Linked DNA regions of Elephas maximus indicus. The protein of the gene in region 2 interacts with the protein of the main gene of each other region in a biochemical or structural test. Links are inferred from orthologs where the notes say so. Each region holds a gene or a part of one and is shown on either strand. Other genes may lie near its edges.

Evidence for each region. The genes of interacting proteins can lie anywhere in the genome.
Region 1: the proteins of CCKBR (region 2) and CCK form a complex in vitro, tested with the Homo sapiens proteins (3 studies listed by BioGRID). The link is inferred for Elephas maximus indicus from reciprocal best matches to the Homo sapiens genes CCKBR and CCK.

Annotation. Positions count from the first base shown.
Region 1 is NC_064838.1:46,705,205-46,712,926, reverse strand, and holds the start of CCK (cholecystokinin), read left to right. Parts: upstream 1-4,654; 5' UTR 4,655-4,705; intron 4,706-5,755; 5' UTR 5,756-5,757; coding exon 5,758-5,971; intron 5,972-7,722. UniProt on the Homo sapiens protein: This peptide hormone induces gall bladder contraction and the release of pancreatic enzymes in the gut. Its function in the brain is not clear.
Region 2 is NC_064825.1:59,927,425-59,935,522, forward strand, and holds the start of CCKBR (gastrin/cholecystokinin type B receptor), read left to right. Parts: upstream 1-4,980; 5' UTR 4,981-5,032; coding exon 5,033-5,183; intron 5,184-8,098. UniProt on the Homo sapiens protein: Receptor for gastrin and cholecystokinin. The CCK-B receptors occur throughout the central nervous system where they modulate anxiety, analgesia, arousal, and neuroleptic activity.

The sequences.
Region 1 (7,722 bases), on a different chromosome or scaffold from region 2:
GACCCCTTATTTTGACCATAGAATCCTTCAACATTGCAACTCGAAGCTTGAGTTTTTCCTTCAGTTCTTTCAGCTTCAGAAATGCTGAGCATGTCCTTTCCTTTTGGTCTTCTAACTACAGGTCTTTGCACATTTCATTATAATAATTTACTTTGTCTTCTTCAGCCACCCTTTGAAATCTGTTCAGCTCTTTTACTTCATTATTTCTTCAATTCTCTTTAGCTACTCTAAGTTCAAGAGTAAGTTTCAGAGTCTCTTCTGACACCCATTTGGTCTTTCTTTCCTGCCTTTTTAATGATGTCTTGCTTTCTTCATGTATGTTGTCCTTGATGTCATCCCACAATTCATCTAGTTTTCCATCATTAGTGTTCAATGTGTCAAATCTATTCTTGAGATGGTTTCTAAATTCGGATGGGATATACTCAAGATCGTACTTTGGCTTTCAAGGACTTTAGTTTTCTTCAGCTTCAACTTGAATTTGTATATGAGCAATTGATGGTCTGTTGGCCCAGGACTTGTTATGGCTGATGATAAATACTTGAGTGGTGCAAGTTGTTAAGCACTTGGCTACTAACCAAAAGGCTAGTGGTTAGAACCCACTCAGAGATGCCTCCAAAGAAAGGTCTGGTCATCTGCTTCCAAAAGACTACAGCCTTGAAAATCCTCTGGAGTGCAGTTCTACTTTGCAGCTCCTGGAGTCACCATGCATTGGAATCGACTGGACTCCAACCGGTAAAGCATGTCCTTGAAAATGCCACTAAGTTTTCTACAAATACAAGATGGGCATATGTCTTTGAGATACTTCCCATGGCTGCAAATTCTACATTGGAAATATTGCATCTATTTCACTGTTTATCATTTCAAGTATTTATCATCAGTCATAACAAGTCCTGGGCCAACAGACCATCAATTGCTCATATGCAAATTTAAGCTGAAGCTGAAGACAACTAAAACAAGTCCTTGAGAGCCAAAGTACGATGTTGAGTACATCCAACTGAATTTAGAAACCATCTCAAGAACAGACTTGGAGCATTGAACACTAATGACGGAAAACCAGATGAATTGTGGGATGACATCAAGGACAACATACATGAAGAAAGCAAGACATCATTAAAAAGGCAGGAAAGAAAGACCAAATGGGTGTCAGAAGAGACTCTGAAACTTACTCTTGAACTTAGAGTAGCTAAAGAGAATTGAAGAAACGATGAAGTAAAAGAGCTGAACAAAAAATTTCAATGTGTGGCTGAAGGCATTCCCCAGACTCTGAAACAGACCCCACTTAAGTTCTTTTCACCACAATCCAATGAAAATTTCTGGATTCCAAACTCAGAAAACAGTCAAATGGTTTTGTTAAGCACCACTCCCTCTCAAAAGCAATGTCTTGAACTCATTCACCATGTATTTCAGTCCTTTGCAGGAAGATCTTCCTCATCATCAGGGGCCTCACTCAGTGATGGCAGGCTACCAGGGAAGAACAGAGAGGGCACTGCCCTTTTTTATTTCTCTTCTGGGACAAGGCGATGGACCAAGAGTGAAATTTAATTACCATCTCACACTTGGTGAAATGTAAAAACAACCTCCATCAAAGTAAAATGCATTACAACTGCTTTTTGCTTTATTTGGACTGAAGAGCAAAACCATTTCTTCTAACTAGAGTGAAGTCTACATATCAAAAAGCTTAACAGAGGTTTGCATATGTTAATATAACACCCTGCCCTGCTCTCCCCACACCCTTTCCCTGCTCTGCTTTTCTCCTTAGCATTGGGTCCTTCATGATCTATTGATTATGTTCTTGTTCATTGTCTGCCTCCCCTACTAGCATGGGAGCATCACAAGAGCAGGGATTTTGTCTGCTTTGCTCACTGCTGTACCCCAGCAGTGTCTGATAGATGGTTGGTGTCTTCAGCTGGATTCTTCTGAAATCAGATGAGAATTCGGGGATAGATGGTTTATTTGGGTGATGATCCCAGGGAGTAGATACAAGAAAATGAGAAGAGAGAGAAAGACAGGGAAGGCGGCAAAGCCAATTAAAGTGGTGTTATCAAGGTCACTGCTGCAGATGAAGGGGAGTCAAGGATCTTGGGGGAAGTTCCAGAAGCTTTTGGAATGGTCCATAGGGAGAGCAGAAGACTGGAAGTTCCCATTCCTTGCTGGTTGAGCATTGCCCTCAGGGGAGTTAACACCCTCGCATACCAGCTGAGCCTCTGTGGGGGCTGAGCTTTGAACAGAGAAGTAGAGGGGAGCTTTGGAGGCTTGAGGAGGGAATGCTGTCCTTGCTCTCAAAACTGCCCAGCCAGAAGTGGAAGGCAGATCTGTGGAAACAGGTACCAAAAGCATCTGCCTCAGGAGCATCGAGCAAGGATTTGTTAGTGAACAAATGGATTCTCCTTGGTGCAGATATGCCATATAAGAAAAGCTCAGGCTCCTGCCCATCTTGCTTAATAACTAAGAACAACGGTGAGAATTATTAGCACCCTCAGAAACCCTGGTGGCCTAGTGGTTAAGTGCTATGACTGCTAACCAAGAGGTCACCAGTTCAAATTCACCAGGCGCTCTTTGGAAATTCTATGAGGCAGTTCTACTCTGTCCTATAGGGTCGCTATATGAATCGGAATGGATTCGATGGCAGCGGGTTTGATTTTGGTCTAACCCATTAAGAAGGAAAAAATCATTATTGTGTTCAGGTTCCTTTTTGGTTTTTAATTTTCCCAGAGGATCTTCTTTAACACTTTCCTGTCCAGTATTCTCATTCCTGGGGCAAAGTGGCCACAACTTTATGGCAAATGAAAGAGGCCCCCTTGATGGTCCCTTCTTCATATCATAGTCCTTGTCACCTTTGGCTTTGCCTTGTGACATTCCTCTCCAGCCCCTTGGCCACCCCTTCTCTGGCTCTTTCCTCCATTCATTCCTTCAAGCTGTCACTCTTCCCACCACCCCCAGACTGGTGATCACCACCCTACCCTAAAGTTTGAGAACCACGGTTCTATAACAAGTTTGTATTTCTAGACCTGTCTTGGCCATGGTCACAAATATAACCAGCTCCCCTAACTGAACTACGCGCACATTTAGCAACCTCTTGAAAAACCACCTGAAACCCTGCTGGTGTAGTGGTTAAATGCTACGGCTGCTAACCAAAGGGTCGGCAGTTCGAATCCGCCAGGCGATCCTTGGAAACTCTATGGGGTAGTTCTACTCTGTCCTATAGGGTCACTATGAGTCGGAATCGACTGGACGGCACTGGGTTTTGTTTTGAAAAACCACTGGAAAGCAGTTAGCCAGCTGCTCAGTTTTTAAAACGCTGCCTTTGATTGCAGAAAGATAGCTGCTCCTCGGGTTTGGGGGGTGGCGTTTCAACCCCCACGCGGGTGCCCCACAGACCTGCCACCTCGGGAGCCCCTACCGGCAGAGCTGAATAGGGATTCCGATTTGAAAGAAAGGTTTCCAGATCTCTGCCCGGCCTTCGGTGGTGCGGTGGTGAGGAGCTGCTCTGCTGCTCGCCTTGGTTTGCCGTCTGCGAAACGAGGGTGGCAATGCCTACTCAGGGACGAGGCGACCTCAAGCACTAAGCCCCGGGACTGAAACCCAAACGGCTTCAGGGCGGAGATGGGTGAAGACCACGACAACACACTGGCTCGGGATCTCCCGGATCGGGAGCCAGGGTGCGACCGCGCTGGGAAGGGCGGGTGAGCGACCGGGGCGGGGTCCTTGTCGCCAAGCCTAGCAACCGGAGTTCTGGTGGGGATGAGTCCGGGGATCCGAATGCGCAAGAATGCAGGGGAGGTAGGAGATGGGATGTCGATGTCCTCAGAGGTCGGGGTTAAGGTGGGAGACAAACTGGGACACTCGCTGGCGCCACTTTGTGGCGGCTGAGAGATGCCGCGTGGGCCTCGGGTAGGTGGTGCCTCAGCCTCGAAGAAAACGCAGACCATTCCTGAGCTGGGTTCCTCTGAGCAAAGCCAGATAGTGTCATCCCCATTTTACAGCCGCAGAAAGCGAGGCCCAGGACGCCAACAGCCGGCTGTGGCCGGAGTCCATTCACTGCCCCGGAACACAGACCCTCAAAATCTTGGAGACCTTCAAGGGCTTTTAATGAGGCTGGGAAGTGAGTGACGACCCCGACTTAGCCCTCCCTCCCCCGAGGGAGCACACTAACATGTCTAGAGATGGGAGCTGCCTAGGGTGCTCGGAGAGAGGCCACATACCTTCCCTCTCAGAATTACACTTGGCTGACACTCAGCCCAGCCTGGAGTTCACTAAAGGCTTTTTCGGCTCATTCGATCCCTAAGGAGGATTAAACGCAAGAAGCTTCTCCATCCTGCGGGAGACTCCGACACCCAGGTCTACTGCCCTGACTAGCAAGGCGCTGGAATGGGCAAGGGAGAGGGAGCTGGATAGAGTTGGAGGAGGAAGCGCCTGGAACAGAGAGGAGGGCTGGCCACCCGGCACCCGGCAGGGACAGGTTAACCCGACTACACTAGGCCCTTTCCCCCTGTCCTCCAGGAGCCACCTCAATCGGTTGTCGCCCTAGTGGCCGCCATCTGAGCACGTGTTGCAGCCCGTTTGCGTCAGCGCTGGGAAAATAGATGACTGGACAGCAGTGCCGGGCGGGGCTATTTAAGAGGCAGCCGCCCGCCCACCCTGAACTTGGCTTGGGCTGCCTGCTGCTCTGGTGGGAACGCGAAGCCATCTGCGTTCTTCTCCAAAGGTAGGTTTGCCCTCCCGCCAAAGCGGAATCCAAGGGTCTTTTGTCGTAGGAATGGTGTCTTCAGTTTTGTGCCCCTTTGCATTTTATTCTTCGGTTTTCGTGTCTTCCCTCCGACCGCTTGAATGCCATTTCTTCAAGTCAGAAATAACAGCCCTACATCTAACAATGCATGCTGGGCGGGTGAAGCTGCTTTCGAGACTTTCACGGACGCGCATCCTTGTTTTAAGCGCACAACGCTGTAATATCCTTTGGCAAAGGATGAGCATTCAAAGTGGAATTTGTTAGATTTTACGCAGAGGTGCTGTGGACTTTGCCATCTTTTCAAATAAAATACCTAGAAGTTTTTAAAATTTAAATTCACTTTGTAAATACTGCAGAAAATTCAGTGTTTGGGGGTAGGCATCTGCGGGTGTTTAATCTGCTCGCGAGTCTGAAACGCAGCGGGACTTTGCCAATGACTGACGGCTGAGCGCATATCACTGATTTTAAAAACCCTGCCTGTGTTTAGCTAATGATTTGGTGCCATTTCATGTAGATCCTGAAGAAACTTTCCAAATATGGCTTTTGTCCATTGCTCCCACATTTTTAACTGTGCTTCTATTTTCTCACCATTTATTTCCCTACCAAAAGCTTCTTCGCTATCTGGAAACCTGCTACCTTTCTTCAAAGGTTCGCACGTTTTCTTAATCCCTTGCTTTTCCAGTTAGAAGGCAGACTCTCTACTAACATTTCTTCAACATAAAGGAAAGCAGAAAACATTCTTTCTGCTAAGCATCGCAGAAAACAGGGGCCTCTGCGCGCTCCCCGAACACCGGGTGTGGTTTACCCAAAGACAAGCCTGGTGCACCCTGACGCGCGTGCTGTGGCCACCGTACTCGAGTCTGCGCCCAGCGAGTCCTTTTGCCTGTGCTAGCCTGGCTCGTCCGGAGCGACCCGTGCTTGGGCTGAAACCCTTCTCTGTGCCCTGGCTCCCCCTACTCCCCGCAGGAGCCCACCTGGGCCCCACCTTTTGGTTAACTGCCGCCACCCCCGCCCCCTTGCTCTCCACAGCCATGAATAACGGCGTGCGCCTGTGCGTGCTGATGGCTGTACTGGCGGCGGGCGCCCTGGTGCAGCCCGCGCCCCCGGCTGATCCCGCTGGCCCCGGGGTGCAGCGAGCAGAGGAGGCGCCCCGGAGGCCGCTGAGGGCAGTTCAGAGGGTGGACGGCGAGCCCCGAGCGCACCTGGGAGCGCTGCTGGCCAGATATATCCAGCAGGCCCGGAAAGGTAAGGATGGCGCCTCTCCATCCCTCACGTCTGCCCAGGATCAGGGCTCCCAATCCTTAGCCTCTCCCCTAGCGCCCTACTGATGGAGATACCTCTTGGGGCAAACGCAGGCGATAGGTTAAGCTAAAAGGTTTTTCATTTTCCTTTGCCTGGCTATACCTCACTAGACGTTTCAGTTTTCTGAACATACTTTGTAGCAAACTCGGGGAGGGGGGGCGGAGGGAGGAGGGGCAGGAAGCGGTTTTATTAGGAAGATGAAGCTTTTTAAAAGGTTTCTTTGAACTAATTTTTGGCCCGGTGTTGCTAAGTTCAAGGCATTTTATGAAGACATTAAAAGATAAGATTTAAATTCGCTTTGCAAATATGAATTTAAATGTATGTAGAGCTCTCTAAAAGGGTTCACATAACCAGTAAATAGTCTGTTGTAGATGCAAAGAAACCTGTAGCCCCCAGATATTGGCAATTGGAAACACTCTGGCAGGATGTGATCAATACTGCCAATGCCTGAGATCTGACAACAGCAGTTAGAAAAGAAGTGACAGTGTCAGTGTTCACCAAACTACGTAATAGGAGAAAGGAATCGGTAGCAATTTGGAGTTCTTCTTGGCCATGATTGCCCAACCCTTTATTCAACCAACTCCATCCACAGTGACACTGATGGTGGGCACTTGGGCTGCGGGGCAGGTGCTCAACTGGACCAAAACATTCAGCAAATGCCTCAGGGTGAAAGTGGGAGGCAGGTAGGCTCCCTTTCCCAAGAGGCTCTCTTGCTCTACCAGATTTGACAGTTGTTGGGTACCCTAGAATGGATTCTGCCTCATAGGATCCCCATGTGACAGAGTAGAACTACCCTCTAGGATTTTCTTGGCTGTAATCCTTATGGATGAAGATTACCAGGTCTTTTCTCCCTTGGAGCTGCTGGGTGGGTTTGAACTGCCAACCTTTTGGTTAGCAGCCAAGCACTTAACCATTGCACCACCAGGTTTCCTCCTGGATTTGACTAGAGGAAGAGAAAATGGAGGGCTTGGCTCTCCAGAGTCTCCCATGGTTTCTTATGAAGGAGAGACTGGAACCTTTTCAACTAGGGGATTTCAGAGGGAAAGAGAAGTGACTCATTATATTTCTTCCTCCCTTTGGGAAATTGTTGAAACTCCCACCTTCTGTTTTGCTTTCCTGCTAATCGCATTGAAAGAGATGGAAATACTAGTAGGATAACAGAAAAGGTCTGAGAACTTTCGGGGCTCCTGGTGATTATCTGTCTGAAAGTGATTTAATATCTGACCCTGAGTTTGGGCTGAATTTCAGCCAGATCTATCTGAAACTTTCTAGGCTTTTTTTTTTTTTTTTTTCTGGAAGAAAATCTGAGAGCTAATCCACCTTGCTCCCCTCCCCACCTTCAGGAAAGATCATAGAGAAATAGTTCCAGAAAAAGCCAGTTACAACATTATTTCCCAGGTCTGATGCTTGACAGTGGCTCTCATAGCACACATCTTAGTTGGAAATTTCTTCCTCTCACTACTTCTCAACGCTTCTTCCTTGGCCTTCAGCCTGTTGTCCAAACAACCCAGGTAGGAATGGCAGTCACCTGAAACTTTAGCTGCCAACACCCACAGATTAGTGGAAGCTAGAAAACAAGCATGTGCTTCTATTTGACAAATATGAACTAGGGATAAATATATATACATTTAAAAATGGTTCGGTTTCTTTGAATATTTTACCTATTTGGAGATTGTATCAGAGTTTTACTCTGG
Region 2 (8,098 bases):
CCCAGTTGGTCCCACCTCCTTAAGTTGCTCTTTACACTAGCTGCCACTGCAATCTACCTAAATCTTAACAAAGTTTGAGCCCTCCCACTGCTTCCAGAAAAAGCGAGAAGCTTACTAGCATGGCTTGCAAGGGTCTGCATTTGCTGCCTCTTGAGATGGGCGGTGTATTAGTTTTCTACTGCTGCCGTAACAAATTACCACAAATATAGTAGCTTAAAGCAACACCAATTTATTAGCTCATAGATCAGTAGACCAGAAGTCCAGCATAGTGTGGCTGAGTTCTCTGCTCAGGTTATCGCAAGGCTAAATTCTCATCTGGAGACTAGGGAAAAATCTGTTTCCAATCTCATTCTTGTCACTGCCAGAATTCAGTTCCTTATGACTAGAGTCCTTGTTTTCTTGCTGGCTGTCAGCCAGGGATTGCTCTCAGCTAGAGGCCTCCCTCAGGTACCTTCCCTGTGCCCTCCTCCATTCTCAAGCCAACAACAGGGTGTCAAATTCTTCCTGTGCTTCAAATTTCTCTGGCTTCCTTTCTGCAAACAGACTGTGAAATCACTCTGCTTTTAAAGAACTCCTGTGATTAGGAGAGACTTAGATTATCTCTCTTAAGGTCAACTTATTAGTAACATTAATTTCATCTCCAAAATCCCTTTTGCCATAAGAGGTGATATAATCACAGAAGCGATATCTCATTATATGCACAGGCTCCACCCACACTCAAGGAAAAAAGATTTTAAACGGTGAGGGTCATTGGGGCTCATTTTTTAATTCTGCCTGCCACAGGTAGGGAAGCCAGGGAAAGCTTCACTGAGGAATTGCTGCTTGAGCTGAGATCAGAAGGTTGAGTAGGAGATAAGGCAGTAAGGAAGGAAAGGAGCTTCCAGAAAGAGCTAACCCAAAACAAAAACCAAACCCACTGCCGTCGAGTCAATTCCGACTCACAGCGACCCTATAGGACAGAGTAGAACTGCCCCGTAGAGTTTTCAAGGAGCACCTGGTGGATTTGAACTGCCGACCTCTTGGTTAAGAGCTGTAGCACTTAACCACTATGCCACCAGGGTTTCTGAAAGAGCTAACAGCATATGCAAAGACCATGTAGCTGAAGGAATTAAAGCAAATGAAAGGGACTAAAGGAAGTCCAGCATGTCTACAGTGGAGAGAACAAGGGCCATAGTGGCCTGAGATAAGTTGGAGAGGCAGGTAGGAGCCAAACCACACAGATTTTGCAGGCCCTGTTAAAGGGTTTGCTTGCAGAAGAGTGGGATAATCAAATTTATTTTCTGAAACATTACTCAGGCTATAAGGTAGTGGATGGGCATAAGAAAGCATCAGTAAAATGTGGTAGACCACTTAGGCTGGGAGAGTAGTACAAGAGCTCGAGATGCCAGTAGGGTAATGTCAGTAAGACGGAAGCAGACTGATTCAAGGAACACTTGTTGTTAGCTGCCAACGAGTCAGCTCCAACTCATAGTGACCCTGTGTACAACAGAACAAAACACTGCCCAGTCCTGTGCCATCCTCATAATCATTGTTATGCTTGAGCCCATTGTTGTAGCCACTGCGTCAATCCATCTCATTGAGGGTCTTCCTGTTTTTCGCTGACCCTCTAAGAAGCATAATGTCCTTATCCAGGGACTGATTCCTCCTGATAACACGTCCAAAGTATGTGAGAAAAAGTCTCACCATCCTTGCTTCTAAGGAATATTCTGGATGCACTTCTTCCAAGACAGGTTCATTCGTTCTTTTGGCAGTTCATAGTATATTCGATATTCTTCTCCAATACCGCAATTCAAAAGCATCAATTCTTCTGTCTTCCTTGTTCATCACCCATTTTCCATGCATATGAGGCAATTGAAAATACCATGACTTGGGTCAGGTGCACGTTAGTCCTAAAATGACATCTTTGCTTTTTAACACTTTAAAGGGGTCTTTTGCAGCAGATTTGCCCAGTTCAATGCATCTTTTCATTTCTTGACTGCTTCTTCCATGGGTGTTGATTGTGGATCCAAAGTAAAATGACATCCTTGACAACTTCAGTCTTTTCTCCATTTATCATGATGTTGATTATTGGTCCAGTTGTGTGGATTTTTGTTTTGTTTATGTTGAGGTGTAATCCATACTGAAGGCTGTGGTCTTTGATCTTCATCAGGAAGTTTCAAGTCCTCTTTGCTTTCAGCAAGCAAGGTTGTGTCACCTGCATAACGCAAGTTGTTAATGAGCCTTCCTGGAATCCTGATGCCCCATTCTTCTTTATATAGTCCAGCTTCTCGGATTATTTGCTCAGACTGAATAGGTATGGTGAAAGGATATAACCCTGACACACACCTTTCCTGACTTTAGGTCACGCAGTATTCCCCTTGTTCTTTTCGAAAGACTGTCTCTTGATCTATGTATAGGCTCTTCATGAGCACAATTAAGGGTTCTGAAATTTCCATTCTTTGCAATGTTATCCATGAGTTGTTAGAATCCGCACAGTTGAATTCCTCTGCATAGTCAATAAAACACAGGTAAACATCTTTCTGGTACTCTCTGCTTTCAACCAAGATCCTTTTGAGATCAGCTATGATATCCCTGGTTCCATGTCCTCTTCTGAACCTGGCTTGAATTTCGGTAGTTCCCTGTCGATATACTGCTGCAGCTGCTTTTGAATGATCTTCAGCAAGATTTTACTTGTATGTGATATTAATGATATTGTTCGATAATTTCCAAATTCAGTTGGACCACCTTTCTTGGGAATAGGCATAAATATGGAGCTCTTCCAGCTGGTGGGCCAGGTAGCTGTCTTCCAAATTGCTTGGCAGCAGGACTTTGTGATTGATTGGGTATGAGAGTAATGCAGTTGGAATTCTCAAGAAGTAGACTCTAAAACAGAGATGTTTACTAAGAGCGTTCTTGGAGTCAACACCTGTGCAAGAGAGAGGACAAAAACAGAACTGGGCAAAGGGAGAAGCTAAGCAGTAATTTAGTCCCAATGAAGGCCTCTGTCAACCCCATAAGGAGCTCTGGGGCTGTAAATGTCATTCAGAGTTGTCCTCCATTGGGATGAGGACTTTATACCTCTGCACTGATCAGTCATTAGATTTAGGATAGTGGGTTTAGAAAGCAAACATCACCTTGGATAAACCAGCTCTCTTCAGCTCAGGTATGAAATTGAGAATAAATCCAGCTTGAGATAAGAATAAATCCTTCATTTTTGAAGGGGTCTGGGTTTTGCATCACAGCCTCCACCACAGGAATGAAGGCATTAAGGGTGATTCCTAAATTTCTGACTTGCGCAACCTGGTGGGTGCATTTATGACATATATTGCAAGCATTTTTCCCCACTAGATTGGGAGCTACTCAAGCACAGACTGTATTGGACAGCCAGGGTTCAGCCCTATAGCTGGCACATACTTTGTTGAATAAGTGAATGACTGTCCATGACTCCTATTTCCACCTTTCTCTCCTCAACATTCCCTTTTCTCCCCTACCCTCACTTCGCCCCTCCATCCAATGTGGGAAAAGTACAGCAGGTTATCTGAGGCCCCACCTGGGCTGCCTCTGAATAAACAGCAAATCAGGCTCCTCTGATGGGCAAGGCAGGTACTGCCAGGAGGAAGGAAAGAGGGGCAGGTGAGGACATCCCCAGCCACCTCAGGCTGAAACCCTCCTTCAGTGCTCCAGCCGCAATCAGCTCAGCGCTGGATGGACCAGGTCCTCTGAATTCCCCATAAACCCGGAACCCATCCCCACGCTAATCTGCTCTTTGACTGATGCCCCCACCTCTTGCAGCTACTGATGGGGACTGGAGTTTGTTAGGAATACAGGAGGATGGATAGCTGGCAGTGCTGAAATATTAGGGGGCGTCCTGCCCTAAGAAGCTGAACCCACCTCAGTCCTGCACACGCCCCCTGTTCCTTTGTTGCCGCTGCCCCTCGGTGACCCAGCCCCCTTCTGGCCCCCTCTCGTGGGAACCAGGCGCACTACACCGGCCGCTCCACCTGCGCTGAGAGCAAACACCGAGCCATCAGCGTGTTGGGTGGGAGTGGGCGCTGCCTGGAAACCGCGGAGAAAGCCAGCCAGCCTCTTCCTCCCCTTTTCTGCCTGCGCTGGGCTCGGATTGGAACCATCCTCTATCTCATCCCCGTTTATCCCGGGCACTTCTCACCACCACCTCTGGCCGCTCTCAAAGTCCAAGTCAGACTCTTCCTCCAGGCAGCCCTTTCCCCTGCCAAGGCTTTCCTGGGGACAAATGCGCTCCTTCTCCCCCGCCCTCCCCTGCCAGCTACTGGAAGTTCTTTTGAGCCTTGGGTGGAAGCCTGGGTTTGGGCCTTGGGTAGGAGGTGGAGAGTGCCGGGGCAGATGCAGAGGCTACCCCAGCCCTGCGGTGACGAGCTGAGGGGCATTAGGTTAGCGAGAGTGCCGAGGTCACTGGCCACTCCGCGCCTCTCTGGGGCTAAAGCAACTGCGCTGCAGCGGGTGACCCCCACACGCAGCCCTTGTCTCCGACGCCACCTGCACGTTCCCTACCCCATCCAAAGAGATACAGGAACCCGGGGCAGTAGCGCCCTACTCCACCCCTCTTATCCCCCCACCCCGCATCGGCCCCTCCCACCAACAAACACACACACACACACACATAACATCTCTTTCTCTCTCTGGCCTTCTGGCTCTCTCTCTCCCCAAGATTTCCCCGGAATCGGGGGCGGGGGAAGAGAGAGGGAAGGAAATCTCTAAGAGAAGACTGGAGAGATCCAGGGAGTGGGGGGACCCTTGGAGGACAGTCTCGCAGGGAGGGGGCGGGTGAGTCCGCAGCAGGGGGCGGGGGCGGAGGCATCACCTGGCCGGACAGACGCGGCCCCGCGCCAGGGAGGCACCAGTGCCCCGGCAGGGCGCGCAGAGCAGAGCTGAGGCGTGGGGCCGGAGCTGGGGCGGGGACCAGACGGGCGCGGGGGGCGGGGGCGTCTGAGCCTGAATCGCAGCGTGAGCAGGTGGAGCCGCGGCAGGAGCCCGCCCGGCCCAGCGGACGGAGGCAGCTGGCCCCGCTGGGGCCATGGAGCTGCTGAGGCTGAACCGGAGCGTGCCGGGACCCGGACCTGGGTCGGGGGCTTCTCTGTGCCGCCCAGGGGGCCTCCTCCTCAACGGCAGCAGTGCCAGCAACCTCAGCTGCGAGTCCCCACGCATCCGCGGAGCCGGGACACGAGGTGGGTGCCTCCCTAACCTTCCTCACAAGCTCCTTCTCACAGCACCCTACAGCAGTAATAGAAGCTCCCCACGCCCTCCACACTGCCGCCTCAAACGGCCACACCATCTCCTTGGGAGTACTCCCTCAGCTGCCCCTCACACAGACGACCCCCCACCACCACACCAGCTCCTCACAGCCCTCCCCACAACACACATCCCCCTCCTTGACCCAGAGAGTTGGGAGACAAGGACCTCTTCTTGTCAACCCTTGGAGATATCTCTTTTCCTTTTACATCCAGTTCCTGGTGCCACGCTGGGGAAGGGAGGGAAGAAAGGAAGGGAAGATTGAGAAAAGAAGGGATCTGGTTAGAGGAGGGAGCATTCTGGAAGGCCTGAATGGGAAGTTAGAGCTGTAATCTCCTCTGTCCCCCACCATAAGCCCCAGCCCTCCCAAAGGAGATCCTCATGCCTGACCCCCTAAGGGCTGCTCCCCATTTCACTCCTCCAACCCCTCATGAGTCGGAATCAACTCGACGGCACTGGGTACTGCCTTCAAACCCCTCTATCTCCCAAGTTGAGGTTCTTCTCAAGGCTCTGTACTCTCTCTCTCTGTCTCCAAGTCTCCAGGCCCCCTCTGCATCCTGCCTATCCTTAAATCTCACCCTCTCCATGAGCCAGCCTGCCCACTCCATAGCCTCCGTCCCTTTGTGCCACCATCTTCTCCCCCTTCCTACCCTCCTCAGACTACTTCCAATCACCCAGTCCCCAAGAGAGATTTTCAATCCTCTCATCAGCTCACATCATCATTTTCTTGATAATTCCTGCACCCCTCCTTTCTTTAAATGTTTATCGAACACCTGATCTCCCAGTTCTGGGGACACAAAGATGTCCCCATAGTCAAGTACAGAGGAGAGACAAGCCAATGGATAAATCACGGTCAGCGTGGCCAGTGGCGTGAGAGGGTCTGAACTGTCAACACTTAAAGGACAGAATTAATTAGTTCAGACTGATGGGGACCAAGAACTTCAAGAGGAGGGGAGCTGACTCTTAGAATTGGAGTTCTGTAGGCAGAAAAGGGAGGAGGGCAATTCTAGGAGAGGAAACAGTGTTAAGAAGGGAATAGTTAGAATGCACTGTAGTTCAAGCATTGATTTACTCCACAAACTAATAATGCATGCTTTCTCAGCTCAGTTGTTACACACACTCACTTAGATTCTTTCAGTCAACAAATATTTACCGAACCAGAGACTGTGCTAGGTACCGGGGAATGAGTTGAACGAAACTGAAACAGTCTCTACTTCATGGAGCTCACAGTTTAGTGGTGGGGACAGACAAGTAATCAGGGAATTGCAGCCCCAAATGAAAAGTGCCTTATAGGGTTGTGGGAACACAGAAGACAAGCACCAAACCCAGACTTGGAAATCAAGTCTGAGGAAGTGATATCTAAGGTGAAATCAGATAGATGAGAGAGATCCAGCCAAGCGAGGGGGAAGAAGAGGCAAAAAAAAAAAAAAGCATCCCAAGCAGAGGAAAGTATGTGTAAAAGCCCAAAGTGTAAATTCATGGCACTTTTAATCAGTGTGACATAGTTTCTGACTGACTTGTACCATCTGAGGGGAATAATGAACGCTCAGGCTGGAGATCAAACTAGTGTATTTACGGACTCTTATAGACCCAGCTAAAGGGTGTGGATTTTATCCTGAAGGCAGTGGGAACAACTAAAAGGTTTTAAACCAGGATTCGTTGTATAGTGTAGAGGATGGATTGGAGGACATGAGACGGAGGACAGAGGAACACTTTAGAAGGCTATTACAGTTATCCAGGTGAAACAAGATGCTTAGACAAAGGTACTGGCAATGGAGATGGAGAGAAGAGCCACTTCTGGAAGCAGAATCAACAAGACTTGGTGATTGATTAGAAGTGGGGTGGGAGGGAGAGGTCAAGGGATGAAACCCAGGTTTCTAGCTTGAGTAATTGGATGGATGTTGGTGCTTTATAATGAGAAGGATAACAAAGGAGCATAAACAACTTTGGAAGGGATTATAAATTCAGTTTGGAACCCACTGAGTTTAAATGCCAGTGAGACATCCAGGTTAAATTGCCCAGTAGGCTGTTGAATCTGTGGGTCTGGAGCTTCAGGGAGAAGTCTGAGCTATTAATACAGACTTGAAAGGCCTTTGCCTAGAGGAGGTAATGGAAGCCATGGGAATAGATAAAATCATCCAAAGATTGTGTAGAATGAAAAGAAAAGAAGTCCTAGGAAAGGACCCTGGGGAAACCCAATATTTAAAAGCCAGGCAAAGGAAGGAGAGTCCATGGAATAGATTTAGACCAAACTATCAGAGAGACAGGAGCTATGTCCTTCCAGAAGTCAAGGGAAAAGACAGTTTCAAGCAGGGTGGGATCCAAAACCAAACTCACTGTCCTTGAGTCGATTCCAATTCACAGCAACCATATGCGACAGGGTAGAACTGCACCGTGGGGTTTCCAGGCTATAATCTTTACGGAAGCAGACTGCTACATCTTTCTCCTGCGGAGTGGCTGGTGGGTTCTAACCACCACCTCTCAGTTAGCAGTCAAGTGCTTAACCACTGCACCACGAGGGCTTCTTTTTAGGGTAGGGTAAATGATGTCAAACACTGGCAATATAGTTGGAAAAGGGCAGAACAGTGACCTTCATATTCAACAGCAAGAAAGTTCTTAGGTAGAATTGTGGGTGCTGAGGCCTGACTGCAGTAGGTTAAAGGTTGGGCCAGTGGGAGAGGGGGTTTGAGAAGTGAACTAGGGTGTGTAGACAAAACTTTCAAGAAATTTTGTAGGGAGAGAGAGAAACAAAGGAAAAACAGGATAGTGCTGGAAAATGCATTAGATTGAGGAAGGAGTGTGTGTGTGTGTGTGTGTGTGTGTGTGTGTGTGTGTAGTTTTGTCCTCGATT